4 linked regions of the Macaca mulatta genome follow. The protein of the gene in region 4 purifies or fractionates together with the protein of the main gene of each other region. This does not show direct contact. Links are inferred from orthologs where the notes say so. Each region holds a gene or a part of one and is shown on either strand. Other genes may lie near its edges. The genes, in order: CUL4A, CUL4B, TNNC2 and DCAF6.

Region 1 (5,001 bases), on a different chromosome or scaffold from region 4:
TCTAGATTTTTTGTTTGTTTGTTTATTTTTTGAGATGGAGTCTCATTCTGTTGCTCAGGCTGGAGTGCAGTGGCACAACCTCGGCTCACTGCAACCTCTCCCTCCCGGGTTCAAGCGATTCTCTGGCCTCAGCCTCCCGAGTAGCTGGGATTCCAGGCGCCTGCCACCACGCCCGGCTAATTTTTTGTATTTTTAGCAGAGATGGGGTTTCACCATGTTGGCCAGGTTGGTCTCAAACTCCTGAGTGCTCAGGTGATCCACCCGCCTTGGCCTCCCAAAGTGCTGGGATTACAGGCATGAGCCACTGCACCCGCTCTGACTCTAGATTTATATTTCACAATATATACAAAAATTCACTCTACATAGATCATAGACCTAAATGTAAAACCTAAAACTCTCAAATGTCTGGAAGAAAATATAAGAGAAAACTTTGTGACCTTAGATTAGGCAAGATTTCTTGGATACTAAAAGTACAGTCCATAGAAGAACAAACTGATACATGTGACCTGAAAACTTAAAACTATTACTCTTCAAATGGCACAATTAAGAGAATCAAAAGACAAGTTGAAGACTAGGGAGAAAGTATTTGTAAGGCGAATATCTGATACAGGACTTGTATCCAGAATACTTAATAAACTCAAATACTCAATAGTAAGAAAATAACCAACACAACAAAAATGAGCAAAATATTTAAATAGACACTTCGTCTAAAAAGATACATAGAATGGCAAGTAAATATGAAGATGCTTCACATCAGAGGGAAATGCAAACTAAAACCACAGCGACACTCCACCACACACCCACTAGCGCAGCTAAAATTATAGGCTGAGGACACCACATGCTGGTGGCGGACTGGAACTGGAACTCCCATACACTGCTGGGAGAGGCACAAAAGGGGCAGCCACTGTGAAAAACAAGAAATTTCATAAAAAGGTAAACATATATTTTCCATATGACCCTTGAGAACTTACTTCTAGATAAAGAAGTAAGCAGAACTTACCTGAGAGGAATAAGAATGTATGTCCAAACAAAGGGTCATTCACAGATGTTCACAGCAGCTTTATTTAAAACAACCCAAGGCCGGTGCAGGGGCTCACGCCTGTAATCGCAACACTTTGAGAGGCCAAGGCAGGCGGATCACCTGAGGTCAGGAGTTTGAGACCAGCCTGACCAACATGGTGAAAATACAAAAATTAGCCAGGTGTGGTGGCGGGTGCCTGTAATCTCAGCTACTTGGGAGGCTGAGGCAGGGGAATCGCTTCAATCTGCGAGGTTGCAGTGAGCCAAGATCGCGCCACTGCACTCCAGCCTGGGGTGACAAGAGTGAAACTCTATCTCAAAGAAACAAATAAAAAACCCCAAACATGGACACTCAAATGTCCATTAACTGATGAATGGAGAAAATAACTGTGGTATACCCATTCTATGAGGTAATAAACAAGTTACAATCACATTGCGTGCACATGAATCTCAAAAGCACTGTCCTAAGTGAATGAAGCCAGACACTACAAAATAGATGACTGCATTTAGATAACGTTCTGGAAATGACAAAATATAGCGACAGAAAGCAAATGGGGGACTGCCAAGGGTTAGGAGTCAGGGGAGAGGGCTGATTGCAAAAGTGGTCATGGCAATTTCGGGGGTGGTAAAAATATTCTACCTTTCTACCAAGAAGAGTCTATCTTGACCATGGTGCCGGTTACATAACGGTATATATACATCTGTTAAAACTTCTTGGAGTGCATATTATATGTAGACTGTATCTCAAAGCTGACAAGAAAACATAACTCACTTACACTTCAGACAAAGAATGGATGTGTATGTACACCAAACTGTCAACAGTTTTCTTTGGGTGGTAGGAGTATAGGTGATTGAAGTCTTCTTTTATATATTTTTTATAATTTTTACAATGCAGTCACTTGCATATCCAGAAAAGAATTTTTTTAATTCAAGTATTTTCACAGAAATAAGTGTATGACACATCGTGACCCAAAATGTAGATATCAGACTACTTAATGAACGTTGTTTTACAAAAAGACGACGCCAGAAAAAAACATCCGCATGTAAATAAAATATCCAAGTACGGTAAAATGCACTTTTAGCCATTTTTTGTTACTTTATAAATGGAACACCATCACTTTGAATTAAACGCTACAAAATCTGAATATCTTAAAGGCAACCACTGATCACAAAACAGAGAAGAAAAGCACTGTTTTTGAATTTTGAAGTTTTTCAAAATCTGAATATCTTAAAGGGAACCATTAATCACAAAACACAACAGAGAAAAAACCCTATTACTGTGGCAAGTGACACAGTACTAACAGTTTTATTTATAACGAGAGAAATAATTTGCTGTATACTTGCAAAATATGAGTCACGTGGCTCCTAGAAACACACCTCCTTCTCTTCGGTAATGGGATAACTTTAAGAATCGTTCTAAGCAGCTTAAGCCTGAAAACAAAAATTCCACCACGGCAATAAACAAAACCACTTGTTGCCTCTGGGGCTCCCGGCCCTGCAGTGGAGGCAAACGCCCTGCCTTTCCGCTCCCCGGCGAGAGCCTGCGAGGCACCCGGAGCGGCCGCCCGGCCGCGTCTGCGTCACGCGGGGCAGGAGCGGCGCCCCCAGCCTCGGCCGCCGCCTCACCTGGTAGAGCTCCTCGAGGTTGTACCTGATGGAGGTGCTGCTCTGCACGGCCCGCACCGCCTCGTGCAGCTTCCGCCACGTGTCTTGCGTGTAGTTGTCGGGCAGCCGGGGTCTGTCTGCAGGGCGGAGAGAGAGCGGGCGGCTCAGGGCGCGCCGCGAAGCGCCCCGCGTCGCCACCCCCGACCCGGCCGGCGCCCCAGCGCCCGCGCTCAAGAGGCCCGTACGGATCTCGGGCCTTCCCCCCAGGGCGGGCGGGGTCTCGTGGGGCCCGCTGGGGTCGCCCGGCCCTCGACCCGGCCGCCGCACCCACCTCGGAAGTTCTTGATGACCAGCTTCTTGGAGCCGCCCGCGCCCCCCGGCTTGGCGGGCGCGGCGGCCAGGGCCGCGGGCTTGGTGAGGCCGTTGGTGCGGCCCACGAGCGCCGAGAAGCTGCCCTTCCGCGGGGCCTCGTCCGCCATGGCTGGGCCGGAACCGCCGCGCCCCGCCCCGAGCGCCGCCGCCCGCCCAGCTCCGCTCCGCCCGCCCCGGTCCGCGCGGCCTCCGCCCAGTCCTCCTCGCGCGCCCCGCCCCGCCCCGCCCGCGTGCCCGAGTCCAACCGCCGCCGCGCCCGGCTACTGCTGAGCCCTTAGGGGCGCGCGCTGGGAACCCCTCCTGAGGGATCGGACCCCCCCTAAGAGCTTCGGACACCCATTCCTGGCTCGAGGGCGCGCGCCGGGACCCCCACCCCCGCCCCCGAGGGATCGGGACAGCCCCGGTTCCGGGGGGCGCACCGGGACACCCCCGGGGCTCTGGGTACCCCCTCCTGGCTCGGGGGTGCGTGCCGGGGGCCCCCTCCTGAGGGGCTCGGGAGCCGGGACCCCCTCCTGAGGGCCCCAGGGAGCGCTCCTCCTGAGGGTTCGGCACCCGCACCCGGGGCGTGAGACCACCTCGAGGGCTTGGGGGTGCGCGCCGGGACGTGCCCCAACTTCTGAAGTCTCGGGAGCGCGCGGCGGAGGCACCTTATGAGAGCTCGGGAGCGCGCGCCATGTCCCTCCCCTCCACCCTCGCTCGGGCGCGCGCGTCCCGAGTCCCTGGCCCAGCCCGGCGCGGAGCGTGATCCGCGGCCTCGTTTTCACAAGGGGCAGTCGAGGGGACAGCGCAGTGAAAGGCACTTTAGCAGTGGGGCTGTTCTCGCCACTGGACCCCAAACCCCTCAGCCCGGGCGGGCCCGAACACACAATCAGAGTCGCTGGCGTCCCGGCTGAGAGGACGGGGGCCCGACAGAAAGACCCCGGGACCCCTTAGCCCGAGCGTGTCGCCGAGCCGGTCCCTGGATTCTCCCTCCGGAACCACCCTGCGCACAGGAGACGGGGTCGGGGGCTCCGGGACCCAGACGGACCGAGGGCAGGAAGTGACGCCAGCTGTCCCGCTTGGGGTGTAGGGGGTGGCGCTCTGTGCTCGGCGGCGCTGCCATGGCACACATTACCATCAACCAGTACCTGCAGCAGGTGGGTCCTAGCCGGGGAGCGCGCGGCGGTGTGGCTGGCCCTCGGCGTGTTCCGTGTGTCCCCTCCTGCCTTGGACCCTCAGGCGTCTTCCTTTCGCGCCTCGCCCCCTGTCCTCTGTCCGGGTCCCCGGCGGGCAGCGGCGCGAGCCGACTGAAAGGCCGAACAGCGGCGGCCGGGGCTCCCCTGCAGGGCCGCCGTGGGGGCCGGGCGGTGTCCGTGGATCGCGGAGTTGTCGCGGTGTAAGTAGACGCGGGGGCTCCAGGTCACTGCCCTCATTGCTGGCGTGTGTGGCCGCGCCCCCAGGGGGCCCGAAGGGCCTGCGAGCCGCGCCAAGGGCCCGGTGTGGGCGGTGCTGTGTCGGGTGGACGCTGCTTCCCAGCAGGATGCGGGATGACTTCGGGGACTCCAGGAGGCGATGGAGGGGTAAGCGCGAGGCTGTGGCGGTGTTTCAGGCCGGGCTGGTGTCCCTGGTCTTCGCTGTGTTTTAACGCCCTTCACTCTCCAAGCACAATGCACACTTCATATCGCTCGGTAGATGCGTCTGACGGGTGTTGTTCAACAGCCTTACAGGCTTCAAAGCGCATATTCTTTCCACTTAACTATGCCTGTCCTCAGAACCAGCACTGTGGTAACAGGAATAGGAAAAATAGGGAATGGATTTTTAAAATATTTGAAGGAAACATTACCAGGACGTGGTGAATAAGAATGGGTGGGCTGAGGGACACCGAGGAGTTAAGAATGATTCCCAGGTTTGTAGTCTGGGAAAAAGATGAATAGAGTGGATTTGGAGGGAGAAATAAATTAAGTTTTGGGCATGTTGAGTTTGAGGTATCTGTTGACAACTAGGTAAAGATACGAACTTGACAGC
Region 2 (4,488 bases), on a different chromosome or scaffold from region 4:
ACACATGTAATCCCAGCACTTTGGGAGGCCGACGTGGGTGGATCGTGAGGTCAGCAGTTCGAGACTAGCCTGGCCAATCTGGTGAAAACTCATCTTTACTTAAAATACAAAAATTAGCTGGGCGTGGTGGTGCACGCCTGTAGTCCCAGCTACTCAGGAGGCTGAGGCAGGAAAACCACTTGAACCCAGAAGGCAGAGGTTGCAGTGAGTCAAGATCGCGCCACTGACTCCAGCCTGGGTGACAGAGTGAGACTCCACATCAAAAAAAAAAAAAAAAATTTTTTTTTTTCAAATATTGCATTAAACCTTATTGGAACTGAAACCATCAGTTTCAGGATGCTGCAGTTGGAAGTCTCTTACAAATTCAAATGGCAAAAACAAACAAAATATTCACCTTCACTGTTTTTGTTTTTTTCTTTTTTTTAGACAGAGTCTCACTCTGTCACCCAGGCTGCAGTGCAGTGGCGCAATCTCAGCTCACTGCAACCTCCACATCCTGGGTTCAGGTGATTCTCATGCCTCAGTCTCCCAAGTAGCTGGGACTACAAGCACGCACTACCACGCCCAGCTAATTTTTATATTTTTAGTAGAGACAGGGTTTCACCACGTCGGCCAAGCTGGTCTTGAACTCCTGACCTCAGGTGATCCACCCGCCTCGGCCTCCCAAGGTGCTGGCATTACAGGCGTGAACCACCGTGCCTGGCCCACCTTCACTGTTAATCAAACAAATAGTGAATAAATCATTCAGATTTTTCACCAAGCAAGTTGGAAAAAGAAAATATAATCTTTAGTGCTGGTGGACATAGTAAGACAGGCTCTCATATGCTGCTGGACAGAGTATAAACTGGTTCAGTCTTTCTGGAACACAATATGACATTATGTACTAAGACTCCTAAAATGTTCATACCCTTTAACCCAAAAAAATCTACTTCCACACATTTATCATATATCAAAGAGATTAAAATTTAGGTTCAAAGAGGTTTCTTGCAATTTTATTTATAATACTAAAAAGTCATGAATTTAATTGCCCCAAAATGAACAGTGGTTGAATAAACTGTAAGAGCCATGTAAAAATATTACACTGCCATTTGCCATTTTTTGAAGCTATTTAATGGCATGGAAAAATTCTAAAGATTGAATATTAAATAAACAAAGTAGGATATAAAACCATGTTGAGTATCAACCCAATCCTGTACAAGCACTCTCCCAAAAACCCAAAATCAAATACGGAAATATATTTAGCTGGACATAGCAGAGAAAATGTTAATGGTATTGGCAGTATTACAGGTATAAAATCTTTATATATTTTAATTATTAACATGTATAATTCCAGTGTGTTAGGACTAGGAGAAAGTGAAAGAAATACCGTTTCTTTCATCTGGATTTGATTGATCTTTATCCTGAAAAGTTTGTGTTTGAAATCATCATTACAAATGAACTTGTCACCATCTTCAATATCTTTGCCCTTTGGATTTTTTGCCAGAACTCTAGCTTTGCCACAGGCTAATGACTGCAGTGTTCTCCTTAACTCTCCATCCTCTGAAGAAGAAAGAGAGGTTTAGTTATTTGTTACCAGCATGAACAACTACCACATTCTACCTCAATCTAGTTTCCACTCCATCCCCCTATTAAAACTGTTTCATTTTTTCCCAAAGGTCACCAACAACTCTTCTTTGTCCTAGCCAATGGCTTTTTTCCTAGTTCTCTTCTTTTTTTAAAAAAAATAGAGACGGGGTTTCACCATGTTGCCCAGGCTGGTCTCAAACTCCTGAGCTCAAGTGATCCACCCGCCTTGGCCTCCCAAAGTGCTGGGATTACAGGTGTGAGCCACCACACCTGGCCCCTAGTCATCTTTTAAAGGTGTCAATTATCATATGATGTGCGCAACTACCAAATCTTCCAAAATGACATTTCACTTCTCTCCAGTTGCACGTTTAAATGGCAATTCCGCCTGGCTGTTTTACTATCAACTGTAGTCACGTCCAAAATTTGATTCATCATCTCTATATAACTGTGTCCTCTTTCCAACTGTCAGTGGTGATACTACTAACCTTCGCAATTGGGAAACCCTGAAATCATCTTTTAACTTTTCCTTCTCCCTCATCCTCAACATAATAGCTAGCTGTTGCTTCTGCAGAGATGAATTTTCTCCATTTTCATGGCCTCATTCTAGTCTAAGGCCCTTCCACTTTATGCCTGAATCATCCCAACAGCGTCTAAACTGGAATCCCTTGATCCTTCCAGTTGCCCTGTACATTGATTTCAGTAAGTGGTCCAAATAATTACTTCCACCACGCCACATAGTTGAGACACTACAATGTAGGTTTGCATTTGCTAGATTTATCAGGTTCTCCACAATCAGGCACTACTCATCCTACCTAATTTTTTAACTCACTATTCTGTTACAATTAAGCTCTTCATGATTCTTCATGATTCCGTGCTACAATTAAGCTCTTCATGGGCCTATACTGTGCCCATTCCTACCTCCAATCTCATCTCAAAATATTTCCCCTTGCTGTATATGCCTTCTCCCTGACCAAAACTTGAAGGCCTAGCTCAAATGCCACTTGCTTCATGACAGCTTTCCCAATTGTGCTAGTCCACAGTGATCCCTTGCTTTGTTGAACTCCTACCACACTTAGTCAGTACCACAAGCCAGTACTTATTGGTTCTGACATTATTTCAAGTGTCATTTCCCCCTTTCCCTATGGTTATATTAAGAGTTTTGGCCAGGCGCAGTGGCTCACACCTGTAATCCCAGCACTTTGGTAGGCCGAGGCAGGCGGATCACGAGGTCAGGAGTTCGAGACCAGCCTGGCCAACATGGTAAAACCCTGTCTCTACTAAAAATACAAACATTAGCCAGGTGTGGTGGTGGGCACCTGTAATCCCAGCTACTCAGGAGGCTGAGGCAGGAGAATCACTTGAACACAGGAGGTAGTGGTTGCAGTGAGCTGAGATCACGCCGCTGCACTCCAGCCTAGGTGACACAGCAAGATTCCATCTTGACAGGGGGAAAAAAAAAGAGTTCTGGCTGGGTGCAGGGGCTCATGCACGTAATCGCAGTACTTAGGGAGGCTGAGGCAGGAAGATCCCTTGAGCTCAGGAGTTTGAGACCAGGCTAAGCAACATAGTGAGACCCTGTCTCTGCAAAAAAAATTCTAAAAATTAGCCAGGCATGGTGGCATGCACTTGTAGTCCCATCTGCTTGGGAGACTGAGGCAGGAGAATCACTTGATCCTGAGCCATGATTGTACCACTGGACCCCAGCCTGGGTGACAGACTGAGACCCTCGTTAAAGAAAAAAAAAAACCCTCAAAAGAGTTCTGAGGCAAGGGATTATTCCTATAAATGTCCCTCAGACCTCTTAACACAGTGGTATGCACATAGTGAACACTTAATGTTTGCTAATCAACCAATTCAATACAAACCTATTCCGGTTGCCTGCTTGATCTCTTCTAAACTGAACTCCTCTCCCTCATTAAACATTAGCAGCACCAGTGTTTGAAAAAGAGAGACCTGGAGTTCTTTTTTACCCTGTTGAAGAAATAAAAGTGTTTAGCCATTACTTTTTTAAAAACACATGAAAAATTAATCAAATCATCTCTTACAGGAAAAGCATTTTTCAATTAGTAGATTTAGAAACATGATTAGCATTATCCAGCAAAGCCACTTGACGTGGTAATACAGTATTTCAGTGTGGGGTTTAGGTGTGACCCTACCTAAAACAGGGGGAAGGATTAGCTGACCTTTTAACAGTTTTTTTTAAGCCTTATAAATAGAATAAAGTAATGAAAATTAATCAGCCTTATGTGTCATTCTAGATCTTCATCACAAGCAGCAAGAAATCACCATTTCAAATGTATTTTTTATTTGTTTGGCTCAGATTAGTCATGAAAAGCTAAAGTTTTTTGAGATTAGATATTGCACACTGTTCCCCTTAACTCCCACTCTATTCGTAGCTCCCAGCAACAAAATTTCTGTCAAGAAGTGGCAGTGTTAGGCTGGGTGTAGTTGCTCATGCCTGTAATCCCAGCACTTTAGGAAGCGGAGGCAGGAAGATAGCTTGAGCCCATAAGTTTGAGGTTACAGTGAACTGTGATTGTGCCACTGTACTCCTGCCTGGGTGACAAGAGTGGGACCCTGTCTCTAAAAGTAAATAAATAAATAAAAATAGGAAGTGGCAGTGTAAAGTTTTCATCTACAGGTGAGGAAAGAGTAGGGGAAAAGTTCATTGCTTTTCGTTTTGCAAAAGGGCCAAATCAATTGTGGAAAGACCACACAGCTAAAATTACTTAAAAATACATAAAGCTATGACAAGCTCTCACTGTCGTCATGCGGATATCTAGGATACAATTATAAAACAATAGCTTAAACTGGCCAAACGCGGTGGCTCATGCCTATAATCCCAGCACTTTGGGAGGCTGAGGCAGGTGGATCACAAGGTCAAGAGATAGAGACCATCCTGGCCAACATGGTGAAACCCCG
Region 3 (5,033 bases), on a different chromosome or scaffold from region 4:
AAAAAAAAAAAAAAATTAGCTGGGCATGGTGGCTCATGCCTGTAATTCCAGCTATTTGGGAGGCTGAGGCAGGAGAATCACTTGAACCCAGGAGGCGGAGGTTGCAGTGAGCTGAGATGGCGCCACTGCACTCCAGCCTGGGTGACAGAGTGAGACTCTGTCTCAAAAGAAAAAAAAAAACCAAAAACTAAATTGGAATCCCATGGGTCTCAGGCTTTGGCACTCTGCCTGCCTGGGGGAGGCCTTATTTAGCTTGGCCCAGCCCTGCCGAGCTCTCCTTGGGAATGTCTATATATAGGGGAAGGGGGCAGCCCAGTTGTCACTGTCCATCTGCATTCCTTGGTGTCCAGCCCCCATTTCCTGGCCCCAGAGCCTGCTATCGGTTGTCTTGGTGCTCTTTCTGTCGACGTAGTCACTGTCCACAAGTCTTGCCTACTCCCCAGTGCCCAGCCTTTACCTTGTGGATTCTCAGGGTGGGTTCCCTCTGGACTTGCTTTGCCCACCCCTTTACTCCCCAGATGACCAGATGTCTTCACTGAGCTCTAGGAAGGGGCCAGCTACCCCTTTACCACTTAAATAACCTTCCCTTGCCTACTCCTTACCCCCAAAAAGTGAATCCAAACACCCTTTCCATGGAGAAGGTAACTTTGAGAGAAGGATCTTTGCTTTCAATGATTATTTCTCCTCCAAATGCACATCCTCCTCTCCTCCATCCCTCCATACATTTTTCCATCTAGACAGGTCCCCCAAGGACTGTCTGTCCCAACTTCCTTCCAATCGGGATTAATAATAAGAATCATCAACATGGGTGGGCATGGTGCCTCATGCCTGTAATTCTAGTACTTCGGGAGGCCAAGGATTCAAGGATGCCTTGAGCCTAGGAGTTCGAGACCAGCCTGGGCAACATGGTGAAACCCCATCTCTACAAAAAATACAAAAAAGGAAAACAAAAAAAGCCAGGGGTGGTGGCGCACTGCTAGTCCCAGCTACTCGGGAGGCTGAGGTGGGAGGATCACTTGAGCCCAGGAGATCGAGGCTGCAGTGAGCTATAATAGTACCACTGCACATCAGCCTTGGTGACAGAGTGAGTATAGACCTTTATGATTTACAAATCTCTGCAGTCAAATGGAGATAATAATAGTTGCTATCTCATAGGAGGAGCACTAGATGAGATCATGTTAAAATGCTTAGCACAGTGTGTGGCACATTGTGGGGGTTCAGTAAACAGTGGCCTAGCTGTCACTTTCCCCTCCTTCTATCCCCTGCCCCTTACCATGGTTCAAAGACAGGACATTCCTCTTGCCAAGCATCAACGCTGTGTACCCGGCACAAGCTAGGTGACTTATACCTGGGTTCCCATTTACCATGTTCTCTCTGTGAGGGAGACCCCACAGAGAGGTCCATTCCCACAGATGAAGAAATGACTCAGAGAGGCACTGCTACCTGCCCAAGGTCACACAGCTCGCAGAGGCTGGCCTTGGATCTTGGGTTTTGGACTTCAAGGCTTGTACTCTCCCCATTTTACCATGCTGCCTCACTCTTTACTACTCTGATAGTCCTTACCATCTTGGAGCTAGTGTGCTTCCTTGGTCGGGGGGACTCCAAGGCGGTGGAACAGGGCGGGACTTCCTCACAAGAATCTAGGACGTCAAGGCCTGCCACCTGCTTGGAGGCTTAAATTTCTCTGCAAGGGCCCTTGGCTAAATTAGGTAATGGGTTCAGACTGTGGGAGGGGTGGGGCTCGCCGACCCCAGGATCTGATTGGGCAGGGTCTCCAGTGCTGGGGAGCAGGGAGGTGGGAGGGGAGGGTGCCCCTACAAATCCCGGGGGCTAGAGCAGGCCAGGGCATCTTTGGGTGGCGGAGTGCAAAGGAGGCGACCTGCAGCAGAGGAGTCCTGGTCACCAGCAACCATGGTAAGGACAAGAGGGAACTTTGTGCCTTTACTTGCGGGAGCACTCTGGACCTCTTTCAGGCCAGACCTGAGTGCTTTGTGGGGCAGTAACTGGGATGTTTGAGGTTGGAGCATGGAGGTTCCTGGAACCCAGGTGTCTTAAAGGAAGGCCTTTGACTTTTCTTGAAAGGGGAGGGCTGGGATATTCCAGAGATTGATCCTCAAGGCTTGCTGACTGCCTACTCACCTTCGGAAACTTCCAGCAGTGTCATTCGTAGACCTGTGAGGAGCTCTTAGCTTGTTTCCTTCACACAGTGGGGACTCTGAGGGGTCAGAGTGAGTCACCCAGCAGGCCAGTGGCAGGGGTGAGCCAGAAGCCTGGCAAACCCTCCTATCATCATGGAGAGAAGAAAGCCTCGTCCAGAAGACAGGAGGTGGGCAGGGTGTGGGGCCTGCTCAGATGCAGGGCTCTGGGAGCCCTGAGGATGATGGGAAGGGGCAGAAGATGACAGACCAGAGTTAGAGAGACTCTGCTCTCCTAGAGAGGGGTTCTGATTTGGAGCTGTTGTTTTCGTCTGAGATCCCCCTGCCCACTTCACTTCAAGGAGTAACTAGATCCCGGAGGCCAGCTGCTGTTGCCCATGCCTGACTAAAAATAGCCTGCCCTCCTGGCACAGGGAAAGAGGAGGAGAGGAAGGAGGGGGAGAAGGAGGAGGGCCGGCAGCCAGCCGGCTGAAGAGCTCCTTGGAAGCCTCACCCCGTCCTCACTGCCAGCCTCAATCCAAAGCCTCTGGCCCAGATGGCCTGGCTTGGGTATGACCTGGAAACCCCCGCAGATATCTCACTTTCAGGTCAAGGCCTCCATCACATTCGGCCCAACATGAGGGGCCTTTTCTCCAATGACTGAATCCTAAGAAGGAAGCTTACAGTCTCCGACTCTGCCAGTTCTCTGAGGGGCGGGATGATGTGTCCTCTGTCTCTTCTTGGTGGTCCCAGTGCCTGATCTGCGGCCTGACGTGCAGCAAGTACTCAATAACTTTGTGTTGCATTATTATTTATTTGAGAACAAACATTTTATTGAGCAACAATTAAAGTACCGGGCACCACTAGGAGCTACAGAAAACTGGAAAATAGTGCTGGAATGGTGCTAGCCTTTACAAAACCCTTTCACACCGCTGATATCTCATCCCTGAAAAGCTACAGAGAAAAGATGAATGCATGCTAAGTGACTTGCCTAAGGTCACTGGGGGGTTCCTGACTTGGCCTTCAATTGACAAGTGAGAAGGCCTTGGGCTTAATTTGTTGTCTCCTCTCTTTTTCTCAAAACTGGGGTCACAGGCCACATGTGGTGGCTCACGCCTGTAATCCCATCACTTTGGGAAGCCGAGGCGGGCAGATCACTTAAGGTCGGGAGTTCAAGACCAGCCTGACCAACATAGAGAAACCTCATCTCTACTAAAAATACAAAATTAGCTGGGCATTGTGGTGCATGCCTGTAATCCCAGCTACTCGGGAGGCTGAGGGAGAAGAATCGCTTGAACCTGGGAGGCGGGGGTTGCAGTTGTGGTGAACTGAGATTGTGCCATTGCACTGCAGCCTGGGCAACAAGAGCAAAACTCTGTCTCAAAAACAAAACAAAACAAACAAAAAAACTGGGGTCAGGCCAGCCATGGTGGCTCACGCCTGTAATCCCAACACTTTGGGAAGCCAAGGTGGGTGGATCACCTGAAGTCAGGAGTTCAAGACCAACCTGGCCAACATGGTGAAACCCCGTCTCTACTAAAAATACAAAAATTAGCCGGGCGTGTTGGCGCATGCCTGTAATCCCAGCTACTTGGGAGGCTGAGGGAGGAGAATCGCTTGAACCCAGGAGGTGGAGGTTGCAGTAAGCCGAGATCACGCCATTGTACTCCAGCCTGGGCGACAGGGTGAGACTCTGTCACAAAAACAAAAAACAAAAACAAAAACTGGGGTCAGAAGCTGGGCACAGTAACTCAAGCCTGTAGTCCTAGCAATTTGGGAGGCTGTGGTGAGAGGATCACTCGAGCCCAGAAGTTCAAAACAAGCCTGTGTAATATAGTGGGACTCTGTCTCTACAAAAACTTAAAAAATAGTCAGGCATGGTGTGCACTATAGTCCCAGCTACTCAGGAGGCTGAGGCGGGACGACTGCTTGAGCCTAGGAGGTTGAGGCTGCAGTGAGCTATGATCACACTACTGCACTCCAGCCTGTGTGACAGAGCAAGGCAAAACAAAACTGTGATTGGGTGCTGTGCGGGCACACAATTATGTGGCAAGTTTGAAGTTGTTCTTTTGGAGGACCAAGAAGCGCTGAGAGAGTGAGGGTTGGGAAGAATGGGGTTCAGGTGTGCAACTGCCCTGGGGCTGCCTCTTCAGCTCAGACTTTCTCTGTGTCTCCTGCAGACGGACCAGCAGGCTGAGGCCAGGTCCTACCTCAGCGAGGAGATGATCGCTGGTGAGTGAGGCGCAGCAGGCTGGGCGCTGGGTGGATGTATGCTGGGGACATGTTGGCCTCTGGGCAGGGTTGGGGGGGTAGATGTGAGGCTGACAGTCCAGCTGGCCTCACCTCTGCCCTCTGCCCTCCCGTGCAGAGTTCAAGGCTGCCTTTGACATGTTTGATGCTGATGGTGGTGGGGACATCAGCGTCAAGGAGTTGGGCACGGTGATGAGGATGCTGGGCCAGACACCCACCAAGGAGGAGCTGGACGCCATCATCGAGGAGGTGGATGAGGACGGTGAGTGGGTGTCCCTCGGAGGCAGGGGATGGTGGGGAAAGGCGGCAGTGGCTGGGCTCAGGCTCAGTCCACCACCTGCTCCCCGCAGGCAGCGGCACCATCGACTTCGAGGAGTTCTTGGTCATGATGGTGCGCCAGATGAAAGAGGACGCGAAGGGGAAGAGCGAGGAGGAGCTGGCCGAGTGCTTCCGCATCTTCGACAGGTGCGCTGGGGGCCTGGGAGCCGAGGGAGGGGCTGAGCAGTCAAAGCCTGCCGGCAGCGCTGGAGGGTTCCCCGGGTTGGGGGTGCGGAAGCAGGGCGTCGAGTGTGGTGGCCAGGGCAGCTCGCCCTGGCCCTAAGCTCTGCCCTGACCCTTGGACCTGAAGGAATGCAGATGGCTACATCG
Region 4 (4,488 bases):
CAAATTTTAAGAAAAAGAAAAATTAAGATAAAAGTATGTCTATAATACTAGGGAGGTAAAATCAAAATAGTAGCTTACTAATTATAATACTGATCATCAGTAATACCAGATTAGTGTGTAGTTTAAGAAAAACAGGTTTGAGTATTCACGTCATTACAATAAAGAATCACACACAAAAAATTCTGTCCTTTTAAGAAAATAATTTTATTATGGCTGTTTCTCCAAAAGCATAGCAATTTTTCCATTTTTAGTATAGCTATTTTTCCATTTTGAGTTTTTCTTAAAAAGGAAATGGAACTTTCTTTTTCAGAATTAGTATATAGCAGAACAAATGATTGAAGAATCTTTTCCTTTATCATTATATTTTAAGATATTTTTAAGCCTGTTGAAACGGTATTTTCAACATGAGTTCTTTGGAGCTCTAGATTTCTTCTGGGATTGGGAGAGGGAAGGTAGATAATAGGAAGGCATTACTCTGGGCCTTTCCCCCCCCAACTTCAGCCAGGGTTTTTATTTGTGGGTTCTCATATACTATTTCTTATGAAAATGAGAATCCATTGCGAAAAATGTTAGTAAGTTGGAAAACCACTACTCTAGACTAACACTGACTGTTCGTAGCACAATTCCCATGTATACTTTCACTCATTGAATAGACCTTTATAAAACACTTGATGTATGTTATACATAATGCTGGGTTTAAAAAAGATAAAGCCCTACCCTCAGAGTTTAGTAGGAAAGACAGTGTAAACAACTAGAACATACTGTAGTGGGGTCTGTGTCCGTCAGAGGTATACACACAGTGTTTCGGAAGCCCACAGAGAGGAACAGCTGTGTTTGTAAGTGGGGTAGATGAGGTGGAGAGGTCTTCACAGAAGAAATAAGAATTGGACAGAAGTCTGAGAATAGTTCACCAGGCAGATTGGGAGCAAAGGAGCATTTAAGACAGAAGGATCAGCATGTGCCAAAGCATGAGAGGGTAAATGAACCATCAGTGTGCCTGGAACCCTAGAGTACATGCACAAAAGTAGCTCAATCAAACTAAACAGGTAGGTGAGGGTAAGATTATAAAGGGCCCTGTGAGGCACCCTAATGAGTTGGGAATTTATTATTTCAGTATTGGGGAATTGTTGATCAGAGTAGCATCTTTCTCTTCATCTGATACTCTTCCTTTCATCCTTTTTTTCCTTTGCCATGTTTTTTGCTTTTCCACTTTTTTCCTTTGCTCATGGTTACATATTGCATCTCTGGATGTTCACGAATATTCAAGTACTATTCTTGGTACTTAAGGCTCAGTTCCTTGTTAACCCTTGCCCCAAAATTTATTTTTGAAGACTACTCTGCTTCAGTCAAGGCAACATCTTCTGAACGGATTCAAGTGGCCCATGGATAATAATTTAACTGTATTGTATCGCTAAAGTTATCAGTTCTCCTATAGGGAAAACAAGGAACCTACAAAGTAAATTGCTCTCAGAAAGAAACTGCAAGTAAAAGCTAAATTAAATTCTTAACTGTTTTAAGCAGCCTCATGTTTTAAGTTTGACCTTTGTTTTTCTGCCAGTTGAAAGAGTTGTGTTCTCTGACCTTCCTCCTTTAAATGCAAGCTACAGTGATTGTTTGGCATTGAATAGACTTAAGGCAGAAATGTAGACATCAGATGCATAAAGAATGAAGTAATTCCTCCTGGTACTGGCTGATTGTTTATTGTTTGCCTGATCTTCAAGGAAAAGGTACAGTTACGCTTTGATCTTTGATATGATTTTTAACTTGCCTTGTAGGTTATAACTCGAAATGAACTCATGCTGGAAGAAACTAGAAACACCATTACAGTTCCAGCCTCTTTCATGTTGAGGATGTTGGCTTCACTGAATCATATCCGAGCTGGTAGGAACTTTAAGTATACTACGAAAACCACTTTTATATTTGAAAAACATGTTATTATTTAAGATCTACTTTAAAGGGGTTTATATATTTTTTAATATCACAAAATGAAGGTAGCTTAACTTCTAAACTAGGATTTCTGTGAATGCTTGTTCTTAGCACAGTAACTTAGTTCCTCATGAACTACATTTGTAGACCTTAAGATATAGTGCATATTCTTTAATGGTAGGTTTGTTGAAAATCAGTCATAGCCCAGACAAAAATAAATGTTACATGCTAAGAAATGAAACATACCTCAGTTTGTTTTTTCAGTATTTTTTTGTTTTAGATAAACTCTGAGGTGCAGTGCCACAGATACATAAAAATGCATATATTACAACTAATGTTCAAGAAGGAATCGAATAATTTATAACAAAAGGTCTAGTATCTGTTATAAGCAAAATACGTTTATCAAACAAAAGAGTTTATCACTCTTCACTGATTTCATAAATGTCTCTATACGTTTGGTATTAGCTCTCATTTAATAATAATAGCTACCATTTTTAGAGTAACTATAATGTATCAGGCTTATACTAATTATTTCACAGTTTTATCCTCATTTAGCTCCAATTGTTAGCCCAAGTCACACAACTGATAAATGTTAAAGCCAGAATTTGAAATTAGCTACCAAGCCCTTACTCCCCTTTGAACTGTAAGTTTCACTTACAGAACTATATTGAAATCATTGATATGACATGCAAACCTCTGGATGGTCTAATCTCAAACTATTCTAGCTGATTTACAGCATTCTTTTCTTCTGTGACTACTCCATCCACACTGGCCCTCTTTGATTTTTGGGGATACATCAAACTCTTTCCCACCTCAGCGTTTTTATAATCATGCTGTCCCCTCCCATCCTCACTCTGTTAAGATAACTTCTTATTTTAAGAACTGCATGAGCAATGAACTAAATATCACTTCCTCAGAGAGAGTGGGGAATGGAAACAAGTATTCCACACAAAGTAGACAGCAGATAGCATTTTTCTAAGCCCTTACAGAGGAGAGAAAGTGTAGCACATCTGAAAAATTGAAAGAAGACCCATATGTTTGTAATTAAAAGAATTAGAGAGAAAATAATCCTCAAATGTAAATGTTAACTATTACCAGGAAGGAGGGAAAACTTCAAATGGTGAAAATAACAACAAAAAATAAACCTGGAATGTAAACAAAAAATGTTAGTAGACCAACAAAATGTTTTTGTAATACTTCTTTGGGTTCCTCTGTTTATTAAATTGTAATAACACTTTAACTTTTTAAAAATATATTTTGTTCAATAACAGCAAGTAACCCGTAAAATTCATCCATTTGAATTCCACATTTGAGGAAGCCGCATTTTAAAACAAGAAAAACATTTACTGGTAATGACACCTAAAATGTGCTTACCCATCTAGTGGATGGCTCTTCTTCAGTAGTTTTCCTGCAGAAAATTCTCTTTCCAGTTGCACAAAAATCTAATTTGTGCTAATGTGGCAATGGTTGGTTAGTTAATAGCTACTACCATCCTTCTTTGGTTTTAGAATTAGATAAGATGTTTTATAATATAAAAATTCTCTTTCTTTCATCTCTTTTTGCCAGCAATCAAAAAGACAATTTCTAGTTGATTTAGTCAGCTTGTCTTCTTGCTTCTCTTATACAAAATACTAGATAGAATAAAGTGCCCAAGAGTTGTATTTCTGCTGCCCTTATCCTTAAGATATCTAGTTATTTGATGGGTCAGTTAGTCAACCACTCTTTTCCTCTCCTATCCAGTGTCCTGCATTCCAAGTACAATAATGTGTGCATGTTCAGGAGAGTTAAAAATGGACTTGGATCAAATAAGCACATGGTAGCCACAAAGTACCTCTTGGCTCATCCATTACTCCAGAAGGCTTCCTAGGAAGTCCAGGGAATAGATAGAAGACAGTTTCTTTCTATTGGAGCTGTGATTTTTAATGAAGGATCCTCTTCAAATCACCTGTAGGGCTTTTACAAACTACAAATACTTACCTAGGTCTCACCTGCTAAAGATTCTGGTTCATTTTAGCTGGATAGAGATTAAGCTTCTACATTTTTAAAAAGCAACCAAAGTTCATCTCATGAATAATGCACTAAAGACTGCTAGTCTAGTGGCCTCTTGAGATGGAAAGGCAGTTCTAACATCCCTGGAAGTTTTGAGAGGCTTTGAAAAGATGGTAATGGTGTGCATGGATCATTCTAGACTCCTCTAGAATGTCTTAGAATCACTTTACTGCCCTGTGTAAAATTCTCCTTTGCCCACACATGTTCTTAGGGTAGAGTCCAAATGTGTTAACATGTCTTATAAAACCCTGCATTATCTCTTGACATTCTTCCCATTATACCTCTGGACCTTGGCACAGATAATTATCATTTCTCTGTCATGGGTTTGCAAAGCCTGTCATCCTATTGAGATCACAGTAACTTATTAAATCGTTTTCAGATTGACTCCATCAGTAAGTGATACTAACTTTACTCCAGAGTAGACCTAATATTTACATACCCTTGATCTGCCTGCTTCTACTTCTCTTGTCCTCATTCAGTCTGATTTTCACACAGCAGCCAGAGGGATCCTTT

What was found.
Region 1: the proteins of DCAF6 (region 4) and CUL4A purify together in Homo sapiens (affinity purification with mass spectrometry; 8 studies listed by BioGRID and IntAct, with this or other methods). This does not show direct contact. The link is inferred for Macaca mulatta from reciprocal best matches to the Homo sapiens genes DCAF6 and CUL4A.
Region 2: the proteins of DCAF6 (region 4) and CUL4B purify together in Homo sapiens (affinity purification with mass spectrometry; 6 studies listed by BioGRID and IntAct, with this or other methods). This does not show direct contact. The link is inferred for Macaca mulatta from reciprocal best matches to the Homo sapiens genes DCAF6 and CUL4B.
Region 3: the proteins of DCAF6 (region 4) and TNNC2 purify together in Homo sapiens (affinity purification with mass spectrometry; 3 studies listed by BioGRID and IntAct, with this or other methods). This does not show direct contact. The link is inferred for Macaca mulatta from reciprocal best matches to the Homo sapiens genes DCAF6 and TNNC2.

Annotation. Positions count from the first base shown.
Region 1 is NC_133422.1:107,452,259-107,457,259, reverse strand, and holds the start of CUL4A (cullin-4A), read right to left. Parts: upstream 3,120-5,001; 5' UTR 3,105-3,119; coding exon 2,957-3,104; intron 2,763-2,956; coding exon 2,647-2,762; intron 1-2,646. Other genes in the region: PCID2 (PCI domain-containing protein 2), read left to right, coding at 4,098-4,133. UniProt on the Homo sapiens protein: Core component of multiple cullin-RING-based E3 ubiquitin-protein ligase complexes which mediate the ubiquitination of target proteins. As a scaffold protein may contribute to catalysis through positioning of the substrate and the ubiquitin-conjugating enzyme.
Region 2 is NC_133426.1:126,930,872-126,935,359, forward strand, and holds part of CUL4B (cullin-4B), read right to left. Parts: intron 3,538-4,488; coding exon 3,432-3,537; intron 1,540-3,431; coding exon 1,367-1,539; intron 1-1,366.
Region 3 is NC_133415.1:98,614,489-98,619,521, reverse strand, and holds the start of TNNC2 (troponin C, skeletal muscle), read left to right. Parts: upstream 1-1,867; 5' UTR 1,868-1,911; coding exon 1,912-1,914; intron 1,915-4,315; coding exon 4,316-4,367; intron 4,368-4,503; coding exon 4,504-4,647; intron 4,648-4,735; coding exon 4,736-4,850; intron 4,851-5,013; coding exon 5,014-5,033. UniProt on the Homo sapiens protein: Troponin is the central regulatory protein of striated muscle contraction. Tn consists of three components: Tn-I which is the inhibitor of actomyosin ATPase, Tn-T which contains the binding site for tropomyosin and Tn-C.
Region 4 is NC_133406.1:25,601,184-25,605,671, forward strand, and holds part of DCAF6 (DDB1- and CUL4-associated factor 6), read left to right. Parts: intron 1-1,775; coding exon 1,776-1,881; intron 1,882-4,488. UniProt on the Homo sapiens protein: Ligand-dependent coactivator of nuclear receptors. Enhance transcriptional activity of the nuclear receptors NR3C1 and AR. May function as a substrate receptor for CUL4-DDB1 E3 ubiquitin-protein ligase complex.